Tribolium castaneum: one gene and its partners. The protein of the gene in region 2 purifies or fractionates together with the protein of the main gene of each other region. This does not show direct contact. Links are inferred from orthologs where the notes say so. Each region holds a gene or a part of one and is shown on either strand. Other genes may lie near its edges.

Region 1 (3,589 bases), on a different chromosome or scaffold from region 2:
CAGACCTTCTCTTGGTATTTGGACCGATTTTGCTGAAGCAAGTGGCCAGGCGGCGGTTCAACGCCAACGAAATGAATTTGAGTCGACAAATCAAACAGTTATGGACCAACTTTATAATGTTTGGGTATTTCCCCCAACATGAATAGTCCAAAGTCTAGGAAAAAATTTCAGGGAGCCGACACTAAACAATCAGGTCAGATCGTGGCGAAAATACACCTCGGGGGACTATTATATCGAAAATTTTGGGCCGGTTAATTCCCACATAAATGAAGAAAATAAAAAACGCGTCCAGAGGGTTTTGTTCTGGAACCAGCTCGTGCCAAAAATGGCCAATATTAAGAATAATTTATCGAATAACATCCCGCGGGAGCTACAAAATAGTCCAGGTAATAACTAATTCACAAAGTTGCATTTTATTTGGTAAGTTCTAGACCCGGCTGCAGGTTTCCGGCATGCAATGTACACTTTGGTGGCTCTTGTGATCGCCCTGCTCGCTTTGCTCCTAATTTGCATTGTTTTATTGAAAAAGCGATCGAGGGAGCGGGAAAATCATCTTCATATGGGATATTAAAAATAAGTTGCAAACCAGTTTTCAATTAACTAAATATATTTAGATGTCTCATCACTTGTGATACGTTTTTGGGCGACAAGACAGGACTATTAAGTTTTTTTAATTCTATTTATAAATGTCAGCGGAATCAGGTAGACGGGAAAATATGTACATATCGGTGCTTAACAAACGCATTTATAAATATATTTCGACTGTAGATGTGTCGTTACAACAATTTTATTGTTTTTGTCATCACCTTTGTAAAAATAGTGTCCAAAAATAATTATCTTGTGACCTTCACTGTACATACTTATCTAGTTTGTTATTGGCCATTTATGTACAATGACATATAGATTCCACCAATGGCGAGCACAGCCCCTTATTTAAATCAAAACGCCTATTTTTGTAAATAGTTATTAAAAATATTAAATGTGTACTAAAAATAAAAACTAATAGATATTTATCTGTCCCGTTTAGTTTGTTTTAAAATAAAATCCCGCATTCTTAACCTAGAAACCTAATTAGCACAGGTGGAAAAAGTATAAATATGTGTATAAAAAATACAGTTTTTTGCGTAAGAAAATCGAAAAATCGTTTTTATTACCTTCCCTTTACCAAAAATCAAAATCAATGCTTTTTTCCTAGAGTTATGGGAAAAACCTAACCTAGATCAATATAAAATAACTTAAGGAGTGTGTTTTGCTTAATTATCCCACAAATTGGCCGAAAGTTGCGTCACTGAGCAATTTCTCGCTCCGTCTTTTTTTATGGACAATTATTTCAGATAAAACATTCAGACATTTGGACTTTGTGCATTCGTGCTGTTCCCCAATTAGATAAATACCAGTGATAAGTGTGCAGTGCCTTTATTGCGAAAACCAAACAATGTCTTCCCTCTGGAACTCTCTTTTAAAAGTCCCGACTCAGATAAAACAATTCTCCGTAACTTTTTTACAAATTCGCAAAAAACATGACATAACCTCAATCATTTTCAGGTTCCGGTGCGTTATTTGAACCTGTTGGAGTACCAAAGCAAGCACCTTTTGCGCAAAAATGGGGTGGCTGTGCAAGACTTTTGCATGGTTGATGATAAGGGATGCTCCGAGTTCGATAAATTTAGTAAAAGTGTTAATAAAAGTTGGGGTTATGTCACTGTTTAATTTTTTGCAGATGTGAAAGAATACGTAATAAAGGCACAAATTCTGGCGGGTGGTCGCGGCAAAGGCCACTTTACCAATGGTTTTAAAGGCGGGGTTCATGTCACTGAGAAGTAAAATTTTTTTTGTGGTTTTGTCAAAATTGAGCGTTTGTTTCAGACGCAATGAAGTCGACGATATCGTCAAAAAAATGCTCGGCCACAGGCTTATCACGAAGCAGACGCCCAAGGACGGCATCGAGGTGAAAAAAATCATGATTGCCGAAAGTGTGAACATTCAGAGGGAGACCTACGTTTGCATTTTAATGGACAGGCAGAAGAACGGGCCTGTCTTAATTGCGTCCCCCGCAGGCGGCGTGGACATCGAAGCCGTGGCTGAGAAGACGCCCCATTTGATCAAAAACATCCCCATTGATATTCACAAGGGGGTGACCGATAGTATGGCCAATGAGGTGGCCGAGTTCCTGGAGTTCAAGGGGCCCCTCAAGGGTTTGGCCGCAGCCGAGCTGAAAAAACTGTGGCAGTTCTTCCTCGCCGTCGATGCCACTCAGCTCGAAATCAACCCTTTGGTCGAAACGGACAACAATAAAGTGATCGCAGTGGATGCGAAAATCAATTTCGACGACAACGCGCAGTTCCGCCAAAAGGACATCTTCGCGTTGGAGGACGTCACCGAGAGCGACCCCCGCGAGGTCGAAGCGGCGAAATACAACCTGAACTACATCGGGATGACAGGAAACATCGGCTGTTTGGTCAACGGCGCCGGTTTGGCCATGGCCACCATGGACATCATCAAGCTGCATGGGGGCGACCCCGCCAACTTCCTCGACGTCGGGGGCAGCGTCCGCGAGGAGCAGGTCAAAGCCGCGTTCAATATTCTCACGTCTGATAAGAACGTTAAATGTATTTTGGTCAACGTTTTCGGCGGGATCGTGAATTGCGCGACGATTGCCAATGGAATCGTGGGTGCAATGAAGGCGATGAAGCTTGAAGTGCCTTTGATTGTCAGACTGGAAGGCACGAATGCGGCGGAGGCCCGGAGAATTATCAAGGATTCAGGCATGAATATCCAAACAGCTGAAAATCTCGACGATGCCGCCAAAAAAGCGGTGCAGAATGCCTAACGTGTTTTTGTTGATAAAGTGTTAATTTGTTGATATTGCTCATTAGTCAACAGCACAAAAAACTGTTCAAATGACCAATGTTTTCATTACTTCGTTTTGATATTGTATTTTCGGTTAATAAAAATTTCTCATATACTATTCGTTTTTCATTACACCATTATATCCCAGATAATAGTTTTAAAGTATTCAAAATTTTTTTTCTTCAAATGGCACCCTATTACGATAATTTTTTTGATAAAAGATTATGCTCTAAAATACTAAAAGTACTAATACTTACTAAAAAGAATTTCGAAAATTTATTTTTGAAAAAACTCGTTCCATACTTTTGCCCACCTCTGTATTTAAGGCAGTCAGGTAAGGTAATGTGAATATAACTATAAAATTTGAAGTTTGCTTGATAAAAGTTATGTACTTTTGTGAGAAAATTTTACGGTACTGTTTTTTTATTGCTTTTTCGATTAATCAAGTTTTTTAAAACAATTTTCAGTATTCCTTCATCTTATATCCTAGTTTAAGTCATTAAAAAAAATACAGCACCCTTGTTCCTTGGACAAATCGCAATCATTTTTTAAAATCGTATTTGGGCATTTGAAAAAGTAAGCTTAGATCTTTTTTTTAGTGTTTTAAAATGTTGAATTATTTTGGTACTTTCAATACTTACCTTGAATTTTATTTCTGGTGCTTTAGATATTATTTTTAGATCTTATTGTAGTGAAGTGGTAAATAAAAGAATGTGTTTTTATTAAGATTTATTATTTT
Region 2 (3,758 bases):
TTTTTATTCATCTGGGGCCCCCACACACATGAATGTGCAAAATGGAATTGCGAAAATAGTGATGTGCGACCAAAAAACACGGTACTTTCGTTACATTTAACAAAAAATAGGTAAAAACGGTATTTTGAACAGAAATTCCTTGTCAATTTCAATGATGGACCACCTAATCAACAACATCAGTGAAACATCAGCTGATAAGAGCACCAGAGTGATAATAATAGGTGCCGAAGGCCCCATTTTCTCAGCCGGACACAACTTAAAAGAACTGGTAGTATTCACAATTTAATTGCGTTAAATGACCCCAAATTTAGTCTCCAGAGCATGGCAAAGCCCAACAAAACAAAGTTTTCTCTCTTGCTGCAACTCTAATGACCAAAATCATCGATTGCCCCGTTCCTGTGATAGCCCGAGTCGATGGTCTCGCTGCGGCCGCCGGTTGCCAACTCGTCGCCCAGTGCGATTTGGCCTTTTGTACCGAAAAAAGCACCTTTTCAACACCTGGGTACTTCCCCTAAACCAACCAACTCGAAATAATACCATTTTTCAGCGCTAATTTTGGCATTTTTTGCTCAACCCCGGGCATAGCCCTGGCCCGGACTGTCCCCAAAACCACCGCCCTGAAAATGCTTCTGACCGGACAACCAATTTCGAGTCACGAAGCCGAAATGAGGGGCTTAATCACCAAAGTTTGCAGCGACCTTGATGGGGAGATTGCTGCCGTTTGTGGGGCTATTATGGGCAAAAGCCGGTCGGTGATTGAACTGGGGAAACGGTTTTATTACGAACAGGTCAATGCCGAGGTGAAAAAAGCCTACGAAATGGGGGGGCGCAAAATGGTCGAGAATTTGCAAATTGAGGATGGGCAAGAGGGCATCCGCAGCTTCATCGAGAAACGGAAGCCCCAATGGACGCATTAGTGTTGGTTGTTTGGGTCAAATAAAGTTGTTTTGAACGATTTGGTTTCAATTCGCGCCTTAATTTGAACGTGACAGCTCGGCGAAACGGCACGTGATTGGTCAAGCCGTACATTTTTCGCCGATTGTCATTTGTTTTTTTGTCCAGTTTAGCGAAAGGTGCCGGGGTTTAATGGTCATTTCAAAAATTTCTAATTAGTTTAGAAAGTGATTAAAATGAGTGGCCTTTTAAAGATACAAACGATTTTTCCGAAACATATTTTGACGAATGTCGCAAAGGTAGGCGTTTTTTTGGCCAAATAATCACGTGTTACATAATACAGTTGGTGGAAATGTTTTGAGTTTTTCTGGATTAAATCGAGTCACCATCGACGGTTTCTAACCTTTAAAAATAATTAATTCTAACCTAATTGTTCCAGAACCCGAAGGTTCTGGCGCAAGGGTTGCACATCGGCGTCGACAAGAAAAATGCCAAGGTTAGCAGTGACGCCGTCTCGAAGGTGTACCCCATTGTGGACCACACGTACGACGCTGTGGTCGTGGGGGCCGGGGGCGCCGGCTTGCGGGCGGCGTTCGGGCTCGTGGCCGAGGGCTTCAAGACCGCGGTGGTGACCAAACTGTTCCCCACCAGGAGCCACACGGTGGCGGCCCAAGGGGGCATCAACGCGGCGCTAGGTAAGTGGAGATTCCCATTGCCCCGGCCTTGACCCGTCTGGGGCTCAAAGAGCAACAAGTGATAAGTTATCTGGGGGAATTTTCTGCTATTATTTCGCGACCATGTGACAGGTAATATGGAGGAGGACAACTGGCAGTGGCACATGTACGACACGGTCAAGGGCTCCGATTGGTTGGGGGACCAGGACGCCATTCACTACATGACGCGGGAAGCCCCCAAGGCGGTCATCGAACTCGAAAATTACGGAATGCCGTTCTCGCGCACTTCCGAGGGGAAAATCTATCAGAGGGCTTTTGGGGGGCAGAGTCTTAAGTTTGGGAAAGGGGGGCAGGCCCATAGATGTTGTTGCGTGGCTGATAGAACCGGGCACAGCCTGCTTCATACGCTCTATGGACAGTCATTGCGCTACGATTGCAATTATTTTATCGAATATTTTGCGTTGGATTTGATTATGGAGGACGGGGAATGCCGAGGAGTCATTGCTTTGTGTCTTGAAGACGGCACAATTCACCGGATCCGGGCCAAAAACACCGTAAGTCCGCTTAAAAATTTTGGAGTTTTAGCTTAATTAGCTTCAAAAATGACGGATTTTTTCTTACACCCTTTTATGGGTGGAATATCCAAAAAGGCCCAGATTCATCTTTAACCGAACACCTAAATACCATAATCGTATAAGAATACGACCCTGACGAACCCTAAATGCAACCCAATATACAATTCTCATAAATAACTAGATCTAACATCTAATAAATTATATTTTTCCAATACGTAATTTGGACATCCTTGACGTTATCGAATTGTGACAAGATAAATAATTTATTTTTGAACGTCAATTACAGTATGTATCTTTGAAAAATCAAGATGTGTACACGGTGTTTCACGTAACTTTACGCTGCCTGCGTCGGTTAAATGCAACTAACAATACTTTATTCGTTACGAAATCGATTAAAGAAGTTATTTTTTTTTGTTGTGTTCTATAGTTCGTACACCCGTCCGTGTTATCGATATGGAATAAAAGTTTAGAAACAAGTTAAAATAAATTGAAAAATTATTTTAATTTGTTATAGTTTTTTATTGTTTGTTAAATAATGTTTATAAAATTATTTTTGTCGTCATTTACACAATAATGCATTGTTGTTCCATTCTAAACATAAACTATAGCCGTCATTCCATACCATAAGTTTGGTTCAAGAATTAAAAGAAAGGGACTATACGACAAGAATCCAGTTTTGGAGAAGAATAGATTGAAATCTAATTTTTTAAATAATCTACTATTTAGTGATGAGTCAAAATTTTCTAAAAATGGTGCTGTCACTAGACTCAGTTTTTACTAATATGCATTAGATGGATTTTGAATTGTTTTTTCTTGTTTTACCACTAAGTAGGTGCGACATGTAATATGAAAAGCACTATTTTAACAATTCATAGGTAATAAAGTTTGAAAAATAATTAATAATTTTCTGACAATCGGAAATATTATAGTGATGTCCAAAGCTAAAACTGATTAAATCGATTTGATCTAGGTATTAACGATAATTGTATAATTGGTTGCGTTTCAAGTTCGTCAGGGTTGTACTATTATAAGTCACCCTTGGATAATTGTAAAAAAATACAGATTTTTAACCCTTATTTAGTGCCTCCCCTCTTGAGGGTGGAATTAAAAAAAAATCTCCATTTCTTGCCGATAGCCTAGATACCAGTTTTCATGAATATAACTTCAAAAATGACGGATTTTAATTCAAAATTTTAACACATCATTTAACTTCGTCAGACGATGATTTTCCAAAATAATTGTTATAATGTAATTAATTTTAAAATAATCGATTATCTTTTAATTGAATTGATATGTAGAGGAAAGGGTTTAAATGTGGACTTAAAGACGCTACAAATGACATCTTATTGCATTAATTCTTCGTAGCTGCCCATTTACTCTTTCAATATGGACTATAGAAAAAAAATAAATAAATAAAAAAAATGTTGAAAAGCTGCTATGGCCTTTGGTAAAACTTTGTCTCCCCATAAAAATACCCTTATTGAACAAATAAAAGGAAAATTGAAAAAGAAATAAAAAACTAAAAACTAGATACCTAAAGGAAAGAAAAGAATTTAAAAAAAAATAGAAAACAAAGACTTCTGACCATAAAGTGATTGACGGTGAAGGTGAAGAG
Region 3 (2,803 bases), on a different chromosome or scaffold from region 2:
ACTCGAAAGGTGTACTCGGAGTCGTTATACTGCTCGTAGGTTTTGAGTTCGTCGAGTCCTAGGACTTCCTTTACTTTCAGACTGCACGCTCTGGCGGCTTGCTTGAGCTTGTGTTGGTGCTGGAGGACCCACTTGCAGGCGCACTGGAAAAAATACATTTTGAATTGCTCTGGAACAATGAATTGATTCACGGCCGATGTTTGTTTCTATTCAATTAAAAATTGCAGCTTTAACCTTGTTTTAACCAAAATTAATAATTTATGACTCGGTAAACAAAGTAGTCGAAATGAATCTCTCCTTATTTCTATTGTGATTTTTATGCATTTCGAAGGTGTGAATTCGACGTTGTTTCCTGCTGAAGTTATTGTTTCAATTTTCCTAATCAAAATTCAGTCGTCTTTTTAATATTTATTCGGCCGACGATTCTATTACCGATTTTGGAGATTCGCAAATTTCCTACACGTGGAGCAGCACTTTTTGAGCATTTTTATTAGTGCTGGAGCAACAAACATGTTGTGAACATAGCGCAATAACAAGATGTTTTTGTCTTGCATTCTAAGACAAAACAATTCGGTTGCGTCAGTTTTTATAAAAAATATCTAAATGGATCAAAAAATTTCTAGCAAAAATCGCTTCTAGAAGTGTGTTGAAATTCAACAATTGCAACATTGTTGTTTGGCAAATTTTGAGTTGAAAGTTTATCACCAAAAACTAGCTTTGTCCAGTTTCTCACTTCAAGACGTATTGATAAGAAGAAAAACCAATATTTTCCTATTGTTAAAGACTCAGAAGTAAACTGTTCGGAAACAAACAAAAAAGAAAAAATACCTGTTTGCTTGTAATGACTGACATCTTCTTCCTTAAGAATCACAACAAAACACGAACGAACACTCACTTGGAGATATTTGTAATAATAATACGTTGGGAATACTGCTCGCGTTAAATCGAAATATTGTTAGTTTGAAGTTTGTCGCTCAACTGGTGTATTGTAAGCTTGAACGCATGAATATTAAATACATAAATTAATACTTATCGCCGGCTATTTTATAAACGGGAGTAAATTTAGGAGAAAAGAATTAACGTCTTATCTTTCGCAATATAATAATAGAGCTACAGATGACGCAAGAAGAATCTCGAACAAGAACTCTCGTAAAAATAAAAACATTGATGGTGAACCATTGAAGTCAATCATTATTGTCGTGTCGAAATATGATAATGAAAGATCATGACCTTAACAAAACTTTTATGTTATCGGTGTTATTATTAGGCATTCTTTCCTTCTGGGCGATTTAAACCAGTATCAAAAACTGATGAGACTCAACTAATTAGGAGTTATCCAGATTCTACGTCGTCTAATCCAAAAGAAAATCTAGCTTTTGAGCAAATTAAATAAAAATAAGAGTGTACACAACTAGTTACATCTATCAAAATTAAAAATATTCAACCCATTCAGTCGATTGAATAAAAATTTAAATTCTGAATTCGCGCCAAAGTTACGTCATTCATTTAACTTTGACAGATGACATAACCGGTGAGAAGTTTTTGCTTTTTTTTTGCCCAAATTAATCAAAATCTTTGATAGGTTACTCTTTTTAAGCTCCCTGTCATGAATTCCTTTAAACTGGTTAACAATTATTGCTTCTTGGTAAGCATTAGAAGTCCTTACTGTGACATGTGTGACATAACCACAAATTTCGTTTCCAGAGGCCCACATTTCGACTTTTTTTTGCAAATCGAAATGCCACCACAGTAATTGACCCTCCAGACAGCCCCGATATTAAGATCCCCACACCTAAAGTTCGTGACAATGAGCCTCTGGAACAGAGGCGGGCCAGGTGGCTGTTTTACCTTTTAGTGTCATTATTTTATGTTAAATTTTAGGCTTTTGTATCAGTCTCGTAAAAGAGGGATGCTCGAAAATGATCTCTTATTAAGTACTTTTGTAGCTAAATATTTGAACACTTTTACTGAAAGCCAGTTGGAGCAGTATGACAAGTAAAGACAAGCCTTAAAGAAAAAACAATAGGACTAAAATGAATTTTTAGGCTTATAAATGGTCCTTCAAACGATTGGGATATTTATTATTGGGCCACTGAGATAAAGGAGACTCCAAAGGAGTATCAACATGAGATTATGACGCTGTTGAAGGAACATTGCAAGAATTTGAATAGGGAGTCAAGGATTAGACAACCTGATCTCTAAATGTGTATTATTTGTTTTTTGTTGTAACGTTGTGTAAATAAATAAATAAATTAATAAATTATACGAGTGTTTTTCTGAAATGATGCATCTTTCCCTTCTTTTGCAAAATTTATTTTGACGGCTGCAGTTACCATTTTTTAGTTTACATAATTAAAGAAAATACGATTTCCAAAAAAAAGGTATTCTTGAGACGTAAATAACTCGTACCGTTACTAAATTCAAATTTGGTGGCTTCTTGTACTCTATTATGTAATGGTTCGGTGTATATTTGGTTGCCTATAATAAAAGAAGTTCAAAATCTTATGCAATTTTATGGGATCATAAAATACAATACGTCTTACTACTTTGGTGTAAAATTTAGTTAATTGACGGTTAATTGTTTTCAATTTTTTGCAAAACTGTCCCAAAAGCCATATTGTTTGTCTTGCGATTAGTGGAAGCTGTTCCGGCAATTATGTAATTACGCCTTAATGGAATTACGCATCTGAACTCATGTCTTTGAATTAATTACACTAATTAGAATTTTTACGCCCAGTGGAATGCAACAATGAATTGCTTTAATCACTGATTGAATTATTAATTTTGCTCAATGTGGGTGAAA

What was found.
Region 1: the proteins of succinate dehydrogenase [ubiquinone] flavoprotein subunit, mitochondrial (region 2) and ScsbetaG fractionate together in Homo sapiens (co-fractionation; 3 studies listed by BioGRID, with this or other methods). This does not show direct contact. The link is inferred for Tribolium castaneum from reciprocal best matches to the Homo sapiens genes SDHA and SUCLG2.
Region 3: the proteins of succinate dehydrogenase [ubiquinone] flavoprotein subunit, mitochondrial (region 2) and succinate dehydrogenase assembly factor 2-A, mitochondrial purify together in Homo sapiens (co-immunoprecipitation; 3 studies listed by BioGRID and IntAct, counting the BioPlex papers as one, with this or other methods). This does not show direct contact. The link is inferred for Tribolium castaneum from reciprocal best matches to the Homo sapiens genes SDHA and SDHAF2.

The regions. Positions count from the first base shown.
Region 1 is NC_087403.1:5,255,850-5,259,438, forward strand, and holds ScsbetaG (succinate--CoA ligase [GDP-forming] subunit beta, mitochondrial), read left to right. Parts: upstream 1-1,225; 5' UTR 1,226-1,435; coding exon 1,436-1,492; intron 1,493-1,545; coding exon 1,546-1,669; intron 1,670-1,720; coding exon 1,721-1,820; intron 1,821-1,866; coding exon 1,867-2,830; 3' UTR 2,831-2,965; downstream 2,966-3,589. Other genes in the region: pyrethroid hydrolase Ces2a, read left to right, coding at 1-124, 172-386, 432-571. UniProt on the Homo sapiens protein: GTP-specific succinyl-CoA synthetase functions in the citric acid cycle (TCA), coupling the hydrolysis of succinyl-CoA to the synthesis of GTP and thus represents the only step of substrate-level phosphorylation in the TCA.
Region 2 is NC_087399.1:7,962,049-7,965,806, reverse strand, and holds the start of succinate dehydrogenase [ubiquinone] flavoprotein subunit, mitochondrial, read left to right. Parts: upstream 1-999; 5' UTR 1,000-1,130; coding exon 1,131-1,193; intron 1,194-1,333; coding exon 1,334-1,589; intron 1,590-1,700; coding exon 1,701-2,122; intron 2,123-3,758. Other genes in the region: enoyl-CoA hydratase domain-containing protein 3, mitochondrial, read left to right, coding at 1-81, 133-268, 312-502, 548-917. UniProt on the Homo sapiens protein: Flavoprotein (FP) subunit of succinate dehydrogenase (SDH) that is involved in complex II of the mitochondrial electron transport chain and is responsible for transferring electrons from succinate to ubiquinone (coenzyme Q).
Region 3 is NC_087397.1:3,194,782-3,197,584, reverse strand, and holds succinate dehydrogenase assembly factor 2-A, mitochondrial, read left to right. Parts: upstream 1-1,390; 5' UTR 1,391-1,531; intron 1,532-1,582; 5' UTR 1,583-1,606; coding exon 1,607-1,645; intron 1,646-1,704; coding exon 1,705-1,835; intron 1,836-1,881; coding exon 1,882-1,995; intron 1,996-2,045; coding exon 2,046-2,202; 3' UTR 2,203-2,263; downstream 2,264-2,803. Other genes in the region: Bcat (branched-chain-amino-acid aminotransferase, cytosolic), read right to left, coding at 3-143, 829-852.